2 linked regions of the Tamandua tetradactyla genome follow. The main gene of each other region encodes a partner of the protein of the gene in region 2 in a complex. Links are inferred from orthologs where the notes say so. Each region holds a gene or a part of one and is shown on either strand. Other genes may lie near its edges.

Evidence for each region.
Region 1: the proteins of SCN7A (region 2) and SCN3B are in contact, whole or in part, in a cryo-EM structure (PDB 7TJ9), measured with the Homo sapiens proteins. The link is inferred for Tamandua tetradactyla from reciprocal best matches to the Homo sapiens genes SCN7A and SCN3B. Residues at the interface, in NP_002967.2 of Homo sapiens: Arg269, Glu293, Tyr296, Leu298, Glu299, Leu305, Gln315, Cys316, Pro317, Glu318, Gly319, Tyr320, Asn922, Ile923, Thr926, Cys927, Lys929, Ile930, Phe939, Ile956, Tyr957, Asp959, Gln960, Ile966, Tyr970, Met973, Ile974, Tyr977, Ile978, Leu981; in NP_001035241.1 of Homo sapiens: Val25, Cys26, Val27, Glu28, Val29, Arg44, Ile46, Lys50, Arg51, Glu52, Glu53, Val54, Asn95, Gly96, Ser97, Asp99, Gln101, Asp102, Phe126, Phe128, Ala130, His131, Pro133, Val135, Thr154, Ser155, Ser158, Glu159, Met162, Leu165.

What each region holds. Positions count from the first base shown.
Region 1 is NC_135334.1:17,129,615-17,137,788, forward strand, and holds the start of SCN3B (sodium channel regulatory subunit beta-3), read left to right. Parts: upstream 1-5,135; 5' UTR 5,136-5,197; intron 5,198-5,393; exon of another isoform or gene 5,394-5,609; 5' UTR 5,610-6,276; coding exon 6,277-6,331; intron 6,332-8,174. UniProt on the Homo sapiens protein: Regulatory subunit of multiple voltage-gated sodium (Nav) channels directly mediating the depolarization of excitable membranes.
Region 2 is NC_135329.1:137,857,686-137,865,374, forward strand, and holds the start of SCN7A (sodium channel protein type 7 subunit alpha), read right to left. Parts: upstream 3,234-7,689; 5' UTR 2,825-3,233; coding exon 2,815-2,824; intron 1-2,814. UniProt on the Homo sapiens protein: Sodium leak channel functioning as an osmosensor regulating sodium ion levels in various tissues and organs. While most sodium channels are voltage-gated, SCN7A is not and lets sodium flow through membrane along its concentration gradient.

The sequences.
Region 1 (8,174 bases), on a different chromosome or scaffold from region 2:
TCACTGTCCACGTGGTTGAGCTCCACCTGGAGTCTCCCTCCCTCCCAGAGGTCAGGAAATGGGGCTGATCCGACATATGAAGGGGCTCAAAGCCCCACATCCCCTCCCCACCCTAAAACTGCAGACAGGGCTGCTACTTGTACTCTCATTAGCATATGAATTATCAGGTGTGGTTGTGAGCCCACCCTGAAGAACAGAAAGAACTCATTAGGGGAAATTCCAAAGGTTCAGAGGTTCCCTCCCCAGGAACTGGGGATAAAGACCAGCCAACATTTTTGTTATACCATACATGCTAATAGAAATTCTGGAAATACAACTTTTCTTCTCAGGAGCTTGAAGCACCATATCAGTTATATTTTCTTTACTCCCATTCAAATGTTGGGATTCTCATAGTTACCTATTGACAGCCTCCTCTTTGAGGGAAAATCTATGGGCTCCCTGGGGGTTGGTCAGAGGCAGTGTGACATGAGCTTCTTTGTAGACTGGGTGCGGTTTGGGTGGAGGTGGGGCACTCAGTGTCAGGGAAGCCTTAGCTTCCCTAATCATTCAGATGGAACTCAGTTCAATGCAACAAACATTTCTGGCCCCGTTTTACCTGCCAGTTTCTCTGCAATGAGCAGGTCCAGGAAGGGACTCTACAGTCTGATCATTGTGTTAGTGCTTCCTGTTCTAATCCCAAACTTCCCTTGGCCGGTGACAGCAGCCACCCAGCTGATAGGCAGTATAAGGAAATAATTGGGGGAAGCCTGATACCTTTCGATCTTTATGCTCTTTGGCCACAATTTTAAATAAACATGTTTCCCCTCTCTCCTCATCCCATGGCTTGTGCACTGTTTTTCAAAACCCACTTAGAGGAGCAAAAGCAGGTTACTTGAGTTGGCTGGGTTTGGCTCTGATTTCTGTACCTTGACTTGAGGTATACGATGATCTTGAAATGCTTTACTTCACATTTTCTTGGCGTTCTTCTAGGCATCAGAATAGCCCATGATGATTCCAGGCCTTGTGCTTTGTCACTAATTTCCCTGTTTCTCACCAAGCACTACTCTGTGGATAATTTTAGGCCACCTGCTTTATTAAAACCGATAGGTATGTCTCAAAGTTCCGATACTCTATCGTTATTCACAATATCACTGCCAGTGACACAGTCTTATTTCCCCATGGTCTTAGTGAAATGAGTCTCTTTCCCTCAAGAAAACTTAATCTCTCCCTTCATTTCTCAGATGCCATTTCTTCTTCCTTCCTCACTAGAGTCATTCCTTCCCCTCCACCTCAAAGTCTCAGGTCCCATATTCCCTCATCCTCAATTCTGAGCACGGTTAGCTGGAATCCCCTCTAAGGAGGCACGTCCCACAAGTCTTGAGACTTTCTCTTCCCTTGCTTATTGTAGCATTGCAATATTCTGGATCTTGTTTTATTTTTTGACTTTTCTTTTTCTGTTCCTGCTAGTGATTCCAGCATCAGCTATTTGCTCTTCCCACTGTATTCTCACTCCTTCATTCATTTACTTATTTGTTCATTCTGGATTCATAGAGGGCCTAATACCTGGCACTAATCTAGACACAGGGATAGATACAGTGCTGAACAGGTCAAGCAAGGTTCCTGCTTTCATAGTCTCTGCATTCTGGGACAGAAAATAAGCAAGTACATAAATGAAAAATTAGTTAATTTTGAATAGTGATAAAAGATATGATGAAAAAGAAACAGGGTGGTGAGATAGAAAGTAACTTCAGGTAGAGGTGGCAGGAAATCAGTTTAAAAATGGTGCCAGGGAATGCCCCTCTAAGGAGAAGTAGCAAGACCTGAATGATTAGAAGCCAGACATGGGATGAAGAGCATTCCAACCAGAAGGGCCATCTAGTGCCAAGTCTCTATAATGGGGAAAAGCTTAATAATTTTGAGAGGCATTAAAAAAAAATGTACAACTGGAACATTGTGGACAAGGCAAGGAGTAGTGGACATGAGCATGTAGTGATAGTCAGGGATCACAGGAGACCTTGGTTGGCCATCATGAGAAGTATGGATTTTATTTTAAGTGTAGTGGGATGCCATTGAAGAGCTTTAAGCAAGAGTGATACATGGTCTTATAGAATAGACCAACAGATTGCTCTGCCTGCTGTAAGAATAAAATTAAATTTAGCTTTCACACAAGATGGTGCAGGAAAGGGCTGCAGGATAGCTTAAATGGGTCTTGCAAGCAGGGAAAGAGAGAGCCTCTGACGTAAGCCTAGAATTGGTGCCAAATAGGTAGAAACAAGTTTAAGTAAGTAATGGCCAGGGCCATTGAAATGTAAAGCATAATCAAAAGTGGGAACCTACAGTGGGAAATTTTAATTAGACTATCCGGATAGGCTGTAACTTGCGGCATATCCAATCAGCAGAGAAACAGGGGAGGGGCCTGCGTGCGAGGTTTAAGTGTATGATCTGTAGTGTTCTATCGTTTGGCATGCCAACCACCATTTTTCAGCTGGGCACATGTTCTTGCAAGATCATGAATAAATTCTTTTCTTCTCCACAATTAGGTGAGCGTATTCTCTTTCAGGTATGGCTTTCTTCCTAACAGCAACTATTTGGAGAATGGAATAGATAATTTCATCCATCAGCAGTAAGGGGAGGTGATCATTAAATTGGAAAGGGTCAAGTAGACATTAGCAAAAGAAATTGATGGAAGAAAAGAGGAAGGGATAACAATTTAAACGTCTCAGAAAGACTCTCAGAAGAAAGCTAAATGTACTTCAGGGAACTTAAGGAAGTTGCAAAAATGACTGGGAACCACTGCAAAAACTCAAGGGAAGCATCAGCAGACTGAGAGCAAATGTTCCCATTTTCAGTAGTGGACAAGAGTGGGGAGGAACTTAGGGACACTAGAGGCAAGTACATTTTTCCTAAAACCTCATGTAAAATCCTCAAATTGAGTATTTAAAATGGGACTGGTAAACATTTAGAAAAGGGAAATATGGTTGTTAGCAATCAGTATAGATAGACATAAGAAAAACTATGCAGAACTAAGCCAAGTTCCTTCTATGGTATTTGTGATGATGGTGGGGGTTGTTAGAATCATTGGCCTAAAAATATCTCGACCACTCTATGTATCTCAAGTTCGGCAAGACTTTTGACAAAATCATAAAATCTCAAAGATGACTGGAATTTTAGCAATAATTTTCTGCAAATTCTAAGCCATAGAAATTTTCTTTCCTACAAATCCCATTAATTGGTTGGATAACAGCTGCTTGAACTTAATGAAAGATAATTCATTCTACCTTGGAATGGTTTGAAATGTATTACTGTAAATCTGTTTCCATATAAATGTCAGCCACTGTTCCTACTTCTTTTCTTGGGATCATTGTAGGTCTAATTCTTCTCACATAATGGCTTTTGTTTTTCAGAATATGCCATGCTATACATGTGGAAAATAGGGAGAGTGTTTGGGTATTTATTTATGATTGTGCAATCACACTAAAGAAGTCTAATTAGTAGCTCATTGTCCAGGAGCTAGAGTGAGGTATGTAGAAGCACGCCAAAGAACTCTCTCTTTTGTTTTTTCCTGTTCATTTAAAAAAAATCTATGTTTGGGTCAAGTGTTTGTCAAGCCTAGAGTTGAAGCAAGCCTAAAGAAGAGAGTGATGTTGGGTGTTGAATCTGGGATTCAATAAAAGTATTATTAACAGGATGTGATAATTGTTTGAAATGAGTAAATTTTAGCAGCAATAAGCACAAAATTTTACAGATTTCTGAAACTTGCTATATTGAGTACAAAATGAATCTGCAACAGCTCAAATGAAAAGTGCTTAGATTTTAATTGACCATAAGCTCATTATGAGTGGGATGAGGCTGTAACTGCGTGTAAATAAACATACCCTCTAAAGTAAGTGTGGCCATTATTTCACTGGATTTATGCTGCCAGCATGACAGAGAGAACATCAGTTCCTATTCCGGATGTCACTTTGAGAAGCCATGCTGACAAATTAAAAATCCTCCTAAGAAAGAGACTAAGATGGCTAAGGGTTAGTAACCACTAAGAAATACTGGAAGAAACTTATGAAGCTTATGTCTAAACAAAAATCTTGGCATGGGGAGTGAAGAAGCACAGACTTTTTAGGAGCTAAGAGTTGTATTTTACGTCACAAAACAGTGTGAGGACCACTTAATGGAGTTTTGGGAGGAAGGGTGTACAGAATTCAGTTGAATAAAAATAGCTTCCTTAAATTTGGAACTTGGGAAGTGATAATCTCTCATCACTGGACTAGAGTCAAACCCACTCCTCAGGAATTTTGTTGGTGGATCCAGTAACTGGAAAGGTGTTTGTCAATTTTAATTTCCCACCCAAGGCTAATACAGCATGCTTCAAAGGGTTGGTCTTCAGAAGCACACAGAAGTTATGTCCTGGTAGCTAATTGCCAGGGGAAGAAGATCCAAGCTTGGGGACAGTCTGTTGCCCTGTGTTACATTAGAAGGGAGAATTTCCTGCCCCTGGTTCACTTACAGCCAGCTGTTACTCTGCGGTTCCCTTTGGAATATCGACGTTAAGCTACCGCTTTTGGAAAGGGAGCCGGGAACAAGAAGAGGGGAGGAGAGACTTTTGTATTAATCACTTCAGTTCCAGGCATTCCTCAACTGTTTCGTCAATTTCAGTTTATAAGTGAATTTAAAGGTTCAAGCTTCCCTGCCAGAGATGGAGCGAGGCGGAGCGGGGGCGGGGGTGTCATCGAAACAGCTGCTTGGATTGAGGAGTGGCTGATAGTTGGAAGAAGCCAAACCACAATCCACCTGCATTTAAATTAAAAAAAAAAAAATTAGAGCAAGAGGGGAGACTGCAAAGAATCAGAGGAAGGGACGAGGATCCCTTTTTTGCCCCCACCCCCACGCCGTTCTTAGACAGGCATTTGGATCCCCTCACTGAGTGATGAAGTGAGCATAGGAACAGGTGCGCCCCACTCCTATCCTCATTTCCCCTAAATAGGGATCATCTTGCTGCGTACGGTGTGCCCGGAACCAATTATTCAAGGCTAGACAAAAGACAGACCAGGAGGACAGGAGGGAGACCTGGTGGGGGAGAGAAGCGTGGGGCCCTGCACTATGTACATCGCAGATGACATCATTGCCTGAAAGCGATTTGGCCCTCCCCTTCCCGGAGCCGAGGATCAGAAGAGTGTGCAGCAGCCGTGTGGGGTTGTTGGAGGGTGTGAATTTGTGCAAGGAGGTGCGCGAGCGCTGGGGAGAAGCGTGGAGACGTGAGAGAAAGACCTGGAGAGAGCGAGGGAGCTAGCGGGGAAACGGCTAGGACGCCAGGCGTTTGCGCCGCCCTGGGCTCCGCCCCGGCTCGGCGCTGCGCTCGGCCCTGGGAGGGGCACGCCCGCTGGCGGGTGGGGAGAGTGTGCACGAGGGGGTGGGCCCAGGGTGGCCGTGCGGGCTCACAGCCCCCTGCGCAGGTCAAGGCTGACCGAGTGCACAGGACCTGGGGGCTGGAGGGGCAGCTGGATACCCGCCACCGAGAGTTGGGCCCCGCATGATCCGAGGGCGCGCTCGGGGGAAAGGGCTTGCCTTTCCCACCCATCACCACCCCTAAGATCGTAGGCCGGACGGGAGCTTCCGCCTCTTTCTCCACCCTTCAGGATCTCCCCGGGAAGCAGAGGACTGGCGTGGACGTGACCGACGTGGAAGGAATTCTCCAGCTCGGACGCGCGGCCCGGGTGGCTTCGGGTGTGGGGGACACGCCCAACTGGAGAAGCCGGTCGGAGCGGAGAGAACCGGAGCTCCCGGGGTCTTGGTGGATCCCGGGCGCAGCGTGGTGGTGCCTAGGGTAGACGAGGTGGATAAACATGGACCCCTTCGACCGCCCAGCCCCCAGAGCCTAAGAGGCTACTCATTTCAGAGCTGAGCTTCCCGCGAGGCGCAGACAGAAGAGAAGCAAAGGAGTTAACTGGAATGTGACGGTCGGGGGCTGGCGGGGTAGATACTGTCCGTGGTGCTGAGCCGGATCCCAGCAACTGGCTTGCGGGAAAGAGAGGCATAGAAGGTGGGGGAGCGCGAGGAGCTGCTGATCCGATCCCTCGAATTGGGGCGGTCTGCTAAGGTTGCTTCTAGCTGAAACTACCCCCCGCCTGACTCAAAAAGCCTTCAGAGACTCCCCAGTCACGGGTGTTTGACCCTTCTTTCAATCAGAGAGTCGCCCCCTTGGGGCAGTTCTTCCCAAAGGGTTTCCTCGAAAGTATCTGAAAGGGCGCAGTCTTGACCGAGGGAATCTCTCTGTTTAGCCCCGGAAGCCACCAGCCAAAAAAGATGCCTGCCTTCAACAGATTGTTTCTTCTGGCTTCCCTGGTGCTTATCTACTGGGGTAAGTACCAGCACCCTGCCGTGCCAGATGCAGATAACAGTAATAATGTTCAAAATAATAAGGCTTATTGATGTCATTGATGATAAAAAGGAGCTGTGGTTGGCTTTCTCTCTGTGCATCTCTGCCAGACATGGAGACCATAGAGATTCCTTGAGAGCTGGGATTTTGAAATTGGAAAGATACCCCCTCCCCCACACACACACACTCACCGTTTTATTTCACAACCTCCTTTAGTGGTTCTTCCTCCTCTCCTTCAGTTTCCTGACTATTCCAGAGGATTTTTTCCCTTTCCCTTTGCTGAAAAGGAATGCAGTCACATTCATTGTCAAAAATCTCTGCTGCAGTCACACAGCTCACTCTTAATGTGTCAATACTCCTGAAAACCTTGCTGAGTCTTCAAAATAGTTTCCATATATATATATATTTGCTAGATGCATGCATTCTGAGAGTGAAAATACTTTAGGTGTTGATCTATCTGCTTAATTTTAATAGTGAATGGGAGGAAAGTAGGTTTCAGCTATTTGCTTATTACTATTATGTATTTGATAAACAGGGAACTATGAATTCTATCTTGACCTTTTTTTTCATGGACATATGGAGCTAAGGTGATTTGATGTTTGTGGAACTGGGTTATTTGTCTTCGAAGATGAATAGACTTTTGCTTGTCCGAGGTGACCTTCTCCCTCCAAATAAGGGTGTCCTGCACTTGCAACAGTAAACGAGGGTGGCGTCAGAGATGGGCTTGGAGTGGGGTGCCTGAATGTGTGTAAGAGGGAGTTAATCAGTCTATGTGATGGTGGTGTCTGAACATGTGACAGAGCAAATGATTTACTGTGCCAGTGTGTCTCTCAGTGTCTGATATATGCAAACATGTCTGGCATGTTAGTGTGGAATGCTATGGGGAGGGTAGGATAATGTGACTGTGCGTGGGGGGGGGTGCAGGTCTGGACATCTCTGCTTTGGTTTCTCTGGTTTGATTATCAGATCAAATATAAATGCTTTCCAGTTGATATATTGCTTTATGTGATGTTAGCGACTTACTCCATGCTAAAATCAATAACCAGTGTTGTTGAAACCGGGCATGTGGGGTTATGCTCCCATGACTGGCATGAAATCCATTCTGCCTGTGTAGTGGCAGACATGTTGATGGGAAACACCTCTTCGCCTTAGTATTACTTTGTCAAACCTCCAGGTCTGACTCTGGCTGCCAGCATTATCTGGATTTTGCATGTGACTGGAGGTACAGCCAAGCTTCCTGTTGAACAAAATGCCTGATGAGACAGGCTAGGAAGGACAAGGAAGAAAAATAATTCCAATTCCAAGGGCAGACTCATCGTCCTCCATCCCAGTAGAGTAGATAAAACCTGGAGATGGAGCAAACATAATAGGTTGCCAATGATCTCACCTACCTTGAGGATTTAAGGTTGAGATTTTCCCAGGGGAAGCCAAGACTAGGGACATAAGGTTTAGGAGACCTTAGTCTGGCTGGAAAGGTGAGTGTACAGGGAAAGCAACTGGAGAGGAAGTTGTGCAGATGGGTTGGGTGAGATTTTTTCAGAGACTTGAATGCCCTCTCCAAGCCCCAATATTTCCTCATTTAAGTGTTTAGGGCTCTGCCTGAATTCTTGGGAGGGGAGAAGCATGGTATAGTCCAAGAACCTTTCTTCTGGGACTTGAGAAGGCTGGGTTGAAGTCCTACCTCTGCCACTATCTTACTATGTAACAACCTTAGTTCCATATTCTTCGTAGGTAAATTGAAGACGCTAGGGTACATGATCTCTAATATCCCTTTTAGCTCCACCACTGAATGGTGCAGAAATATTTACAGAATATTGTTAGAATT
Region 2 (7,689 bases):
GGAGGAATATTCCACCCAACACAATATTTTCAACCCCGCCTCTAGCTAAATATCAGCATCAGATGATATTCTTGTCTACAACCAAAATCCCTATACTAATTTCAGATTCTTAAAATCAGAATTTCAGTGTGGGACCCCACTTAAGCTTTTTCATCAAGCTCTTGTTTGATGCTGAAGGTGGGTCAGTCTGGCAGCTAACTCTCACCACAATCAGAGCTGTCCACACAGCAGCTTATTTCTGGCCAGTACCAGATCAAGTTAGTCATATTAGAAATACTAAATATAAAACAGAGATAGGTGTTCTCCCATGAGATGGAGTACAGCCAGATTGAGCCTGGTTTTCATTGACTGAACAAACATATGGAATTCATGAGCCTAGATGGGACACAGACAAGCTGAAAAACCTCCCTAGAAACCCTCATATGAAAACATTCCCTCAAAGATTTCTTCCTTCAGCATTGCAGAGGTGAGGCCTGGCTTACTTGGCATTGGTTAGCTCATATTGATTAAAAAATGACCAATTCAGGAAAAAAGGAGATCAGTTTGTAAAGTAAATCTGACAACAGTGGGTGACTCTGGACCTTGCTGATAACTAGTCGGGGTGAGGATAGGTAGGCTACAGATGTCCTTTTCAGAAACTGACCAATACGGATATGTTTGTGGAAATGATGGCACCAAACTCCCAGGAATCAAGAATGTCCTTCTATGCTAAAACCTCTACCATAAGTCTTAAGTGTGTGTGCCTGTCTCTGAGGATCCCAGTTGTCTGAACTAATTTCTGCAAGACAGATCCTCTGCCAATATGATGTGGGACAGGCAGAGCATTAGGATACTGCTGCATCCTTTCCCAGTGTGCCTTAGACCTCTATTCGTCCTACCTGGGCAAAGATCAGCGAGAGTTTATTTCAATTTCCCTCCCTAAGCCTGTACCATATGAGGCTGTGGAAACCGAATGATGAGTTCCTAAGTACTTGGTTCTACCTCCAGATCTCCCAAGGAGACTGATATCCAGTAGCAGGTCCGAGAGCCTGATTCTACCATCTGGACTCTTGACCTCTTTTCCTAAGCCGAGGTCCAACTTCATGTTTTTCTACTATTGCTCTAAAACATACATATGGGCAAGAAAGGGCACTGTACCTTTCCCTAAGTGCCGGTTTTAATGATTCCCAGCATTCAAGAGTAGATTATGTGTTACTACCTTATAATTTCTCCCATTTTAATTAATGGGGCAAATAAATTCATCGATATCCAATATTCACAATGGTTTAATTATGAGAGAGTTGGATCACACACGAAACAAAAACTAATGCTGAAAAGGAAAGAGAGTAAGACATATTCTGAGAATATTTCAAATTTTAAAAAACACGAGTGTTAATCAAAACGCAAAGTTTTGCAAGTGTAGGGGCTTGCAAGTTAAAATTTGCTTTAGATTTTAAGTGGCAAATGATCATCAGCTGGATTTGAATTTCACTTTATCTACTACATTCCAGTTAGGCCTAAGTCGTCTTTTTATTCTTGCATTGAACTCGATTTAGAATGAGAGATAGAAGAGTGCAGTGGGGAAAAACAAAATAATTCCTTATATAAGTAAGGGCTACATGTGATATTAGCTTTAGAAAACTCTTCATGTAATATCTACAATCAGTTCTTAACTGGACTTTTTGATGTGTCATTTACAAATAAATAACAAAAAATGTGTAATCACGTTCAATAACTCATTTTATTTCACAAGGATAGAAATCATGTTTTATAATTGTAAACCCCAAGGTTTTTCTCATTGAGCCTCCAGCTTAATCAAACTAGCCAGGTAACCTCATCAAATTACTTCTTCTAGGCCTTATCTTTCTCCTTTTAAAAGCAGCAGCTGGATTACAAAATGTTTAAATAGGTCTAATAATAACAGGATGGGGTTCCATAATCTGTTTATTCAGGGCCCCAGCTTCCTTTTAGTTTGTCTTAAATTACGTCTGGAGCAATTATTGGCGGCGGTGGGGCGCTGGGCAGGAGTGTGGACAGCCATATATACAAGCATCACCCCAAAACCTTCCTATTTCAAGAGATGTTTTTGGCTGAAATCCAAAGGTGACTCCATCATCTTCATTAATTTAGGGGGTCCATTATTTTATTAGCGCATATGTATTCATCATTTGTCCTGCTTTGGCCAATATCTGAACTACTGAAGATAACCGATAACCAGAGTTACAAAGAAAACATCATTATTTCTAAAACAAAACCTCCAGAAGGTAGGTGTTTTACAAAGCTATACAATACAGAAGCCTGTTGGTGCCAACAGAACAAAATGCCAAGATGTTTAAATTGGGATCACCATTCCCCATCAGGTCTGTGCTGCTTCTTTCTACTGACAATTCTTACATGAAAAGCACCAATGTCGAAATCACTAAATTACTTAGAGATTACTTAGGGGTCCTCGGAAATAGTACAACTTATCCTTGCATAAGCTTTTTTTCTTTCCCTACTATCATCATGTAATATCAAAGTCATCACCACTTCGGATTTCTAGACATTTTACACGCACAGCGTCTCGTTTCAGAAGCTTCCACGGTGCTGTGAAAACCCAACCACGTGCACAGCGCAGGGCAAATACCACAGACCACACCTGCACTTTAAGTAGGAAAAGGTGCTTCTTTTGCTCTCCTTAATTCACGTCCAGAATTTTAATCTCCTCCTCCTGTCGGTGGCCGTAAGGGTGGTGTATGGCGGTGGAGCAGGTGGGAAGGGGGTGGAAAAGGCTGGCAGCTGTGGTGACAAACACCATCCTGGGGCTGGACCCGACAGCGAGAAAAACGCACTTACTTGCTACCATGTGACAGGTCTCCACCGGCACCTGCAGGACCCGATCCCGAGGGACAGGGCCCTTTGGAGCCCTTTCCCCCTCCCGAGCTTCCCCTTCTTCACGGATTTCTCTGGTCTTCTGAGCTCCGGTTGCTTAGGAAATGTTGCTAGGCTGGCGTCTGACCTCCCCGGCTGATGCCACCTAGGCCGCGATGGCTCCGCGGTCAACAACCCCACTGAATCCTCAGCTAGACGCGGAGGAGCTGCGGCGGCTACCCAGCCACTGACCCAGAGACCCCTCCTTCCAAGATGTCCAGTGGAGCCCCGCCCGCAGCTTGGAAGCTGTTTTCGTCTTCCTGCCACACTTCCCTCTCGTCTGGCAGCCGAGTCACTCTTCCCCGCCTTCATCTTGAGGCCGGCGCGCGGCTCCGGCACCAGACCCGGCGGGGGCGGGGGCGGTTCTGACACAGCCCAGCCGCAGCCGCTGCAGCACCCAGGGCTGCTGCACCCAGGGCTGCTGCAGCCGCCGCAGAGCCTCTCCCTCCGGCCGCCCGGGAGGGGCGGGGGCTGCTAGAGGAGGGGGATCAGCGAGGGGGGCAGAGAGGGGAGAGGACCTAGAAGGGATGAAGGAAGGCAGGGGAGAGAAGAAAAGCAGGTAGGGAGGAAGAGCGAGTTTACCGGGAAGGGAGAGGGAAAAGAAGAGGGAGCTTTAAAGAGGAAGGAGGCAAACTCCGGTTCTTTACCTCTTTTCCTTTCTTCAGCGGTTTTCTCTCTCCCTGGCCTGGCTGTCCTAGGAGAGCCTCCCAGGTGCGGTTGTTAGTCAGCTGCATCTAAATCCGCACGCCGTTGTAGGCAGAACTGTGCAGTTTTGTCTGCTGTTGTGTGTGTCTGTAGGTTTGTAGGTGTCAAGGTAAGATGTGGCAGGAATGACTATACTCTGCAGACTGCAGATTCTTTCCCAGCTCTGGTGATTTGAAACACTGGGGAAAAAATATGCATATTTTCAAAAACTATTGCTGCACTGTATTTGGGGATGGGAACTGCTGCTGGACCTTGTTTCTCAAAGGGAGTATCGAAAATTTTGCTGCCCCAAAGAACATTCATTTTATAACCCTACCTTGTTCTGAAATGATGACATTTTCTTTGAAAATTCATACCTCCTACCAAGAAAAGATAAGGAAAACGAGGATAAGAGAAAAGAAATCATGTATTTTGTATGACGTACACCTTAGATTTTCCAAAGTATGGAACAGAAAATGTAGGCAGATTCAAGAGAAAAAACATGTCAGGAAAAATGCATTTCATCCGTGATTCACAGTAATGGCTATTACCATGTTTTCTTGTTTAAAATATGTTTGCTAAGAAACATTTCAACTATATACAAAAATACAAAGTATCACAAACTTTTATGTACCCACCCTCAACTCCTAACAACACTTGGCCAATCTTGTCTCATCTATATCTAGACCGCTTACCTTGGATTAATTTAAACATAGTCCAGACATCACACCATTTCATCTAAAAATACATCATCAGCCTGTGCCCTGAAAGATAAAGACTTTTAAAAAATATAAAGCCAATTTCACCATCATACCTAAAAATTAATACTAATTATTTTATAGCATCATATATCCATTTTACTTATTTTTAATAGACAATTTATGGATTATTGACTTCTCATTTTCACATTTTTTGTGACAAACCAAGTAAATTTTCTAGTTTATAGACCTTTCCTTGGAGCAGTCCTGCTTTTGTTTCCCTTCTCACCCAGTAAATTGTAGGCATCCATACTCAAACATTATATAAACATGAGAAACTTAGTAATATCAAATATTTTAAAGCTTTAATAAGATATGTGAAATAAATGAAAAGAAGTACTGTTTTGCATAATGTGTGATGAGCATGCAACTGATCCTAAACAATGTACAAATTAGTAATACCAGCAATGGGAAACTGAAAGGAAACCAATGATACAAGATTTGTTCCGAGTAGACAACCATATTATGTTGCCTGAGTAGACAACCATATTTCTGCAACAAATTTTTGCCTCCAGTGTTAGATAAAGTCACTGTGCAGGATCTGTCAAATTTTGGTAATTATTATGCTCTTATACCAGGCTGAGTTGCTCCCCACTGAGTTGCTCAGTAGGGGAAATCGATGTGGTGGAAAGACCACGGCCCTGTCTGTTTTCCACATGCCTGTCTCAAGAACCTTGTAATCACGGGTTCTAAGTTGTATTTCCTAACTGTGTATCCAGAAGTGACTCAAATCAAGCACAAGGCCAACATGCCCCTCTTCAACTTTACTGAAAGAAATCTGCTCTATCACACTTCACTTGAGCCATAGACCATAGGGAACATCACTTTCCCTGCAGCCTTCTTAAATGGAGGCTGATTATTCTAACCTCATCGTGTCCAGAGTAGGAATGGGCATGGCCTGCTCATTCCTCCTCCACAACACAACTTCCACATTTCACAAAAACTGGTGTATGAAAAAAAATTTTTTGAAATTAAAAAACTCTGCTCAAAATGCAAAGGAATCTAACTCTTCTTTAAAGCAGATGTCCTCCAGCTATTTCCTACTGTATCAAGTCTTTCTTCTTGTGGTACCTCTGGTAGCAATCATCTTCTTAATAAATAGACAGTCTTACTTATTCATTAAGGATTTATTTCCTACTTGACAGTCTTCCTCTCCATTCATGTACCTAAAATCATGCAACACCTTCATGCATATGGATGCCTACAGCCTTCTTTCTATTACATGCTTTTTGTCTCGACCACACCTCAGCTATCAATTCCCACACTCAAGCAGTGAATCTTATAATTGCTAGTAACTGCTTGATTCTCTCCGTAGTACTTACCTGGATTACTAAAGGTTTATTGCTGTTCATTTATTGTCCGTCTTGTCCCCCTAGAGTGCCTGTTGCATGACAGCCAACTCTTTGTCTATTCATTGCTATACCTCAGTGTTTAAGACAGAATTTGTCATACATAAGTTACTCAAATTTTATTATTCAAGGAGTAATCATCCAGATGCCCCCAATCCACTATGGGTCACCAAGAAGAATGTAGCAGTTTGACACAGAAAAAACCATAAATTGAGCACATGCTATATGAAGAACAGGATGGTTGTTTGTTGATCATGCTTTTATTCTACTTAGCCTCTGGTACCTAAGTTCTTAAAATTCTTCTGGTGACAGTGCTGCAAAGCCAGAATCAGTTCTTATGATTGTTTTCATGTGTACTGCATTCTACAATAATTCTTACTATTTGTGTGTTTGGGTTCCTTGGAATTTCTCCAAGAAAACCTTGTTCACAGTTTTCAACCCTGTCCTAAGTTCTAAAATTATAAGAATTTGGACCTCAGCAAATAAAGTTGTAAGGAGTAGTTTAATGATCACAGAGGAACAAAATAAATGGCTTGCTTCTTAAGGATTCTTGGAAATGAAACAACAGACCATAGACAGTATGAGTCAATTGAGCTCATCTAGAAAATAGTGGTTTTAAAAAAAAACCTTTTAGAGCATTAATTATCTACTGATAAATTTCTATGCTGAATACAATTTCTCAGATCCTCTGGCAATATATATATATATATATATATTGCTCTTTATGACTCTTCCCAAAAATCTTCAAAAGACAGGTATAGTCAGCAAAGAATAATAGAAAAAAATCAATTTAAAGATTTTAACTCAGTATAGAAAATATGTCAAAAAAATATTTGTTTTCCAAATATGCCATTTGGAAAACACACACACACATATCGTTTACAACATTATACATATATTTCCTTTAGCTTATCGCCCTGGTGCCAAGAATATAATTATAAAAATCACATACATACACAGATTGTGTTCAAATGTTCCTGACCATACACATTCCCCTTTGCAATTTTATATGTGACATCTGATCTATCAAGTAATTCCCTGCCAGGCTTGATGGAAGTGCAGACTTTTTTTTCGTGTGAAAAAAATAGAAGAGAAAATACAGACAATTACAAAATTGCAATTCTTTTTCATTTCTCTGGAAGTCCTGTTGAAATGTGTGTCTATATAGGATATATCTGAATGCATGCATATCGTCTATGGAAGTTAGCGTTAACCACTCTAACACAAATCTAAAATAATAGTGGCTTAACTCAACAGAAGCTTATTTTGCTCAAACATAATTGTCTACATCTAAGCAGTTTAGGGCTACAAAACCACATCAACTAACCAGGCTTTTCTATCTTGTTGATTTGTGATCTCTCGTGTGTTACCCTCATTTGTATGATTCAAAATGCCCACTGACACATTTGTATTACAAGCAATAGAAAAAGAGCACAGGGGAAATGGAGTTCTTGCTCATTTCATTAAAGGTTACACTTCCCTGAATCCAGATTGAATTGTCCATAACTCCCATAGTCACACTGGTTGCAAGGAAGCCTGAAGAATGTGATACTTCTTTTGGGTGGCTAGGTAGTGAGCTAAAATTTGAAGTTTTTATTGTTGTAGATAAAAGGGAGAAGAAATATTCGGGGGTGAGTAGCACTTTTTGTTGGTAACATCTGAATCTGCAATTGGTATTCTTTTGTGACTGTATACCTCTGCCAAATAGAAATTAGGAAAAATGTGATTTCTCAAGATTTTAGGGCTCACAGAAACATAACCAAACTTAGCAGTAAACATTTCTCTCCACCAACTGGAATGAATAGGAAAGAAAGTCAAGTTGCAGAATAAACAACTAGACAGCTAAACTAATATATTTCGAATTGTTTCCTCAAATTCAATAGGTCTCACCATCATATTATCTCATTCATTTCTACCACTTTGTTTTGGTTTATGATAATAAGATACTCAAAACTTTTCTCACTCTTTTTTCTTTCCCCAATTTTTCCAAACAAAGAGTACAAGAAACA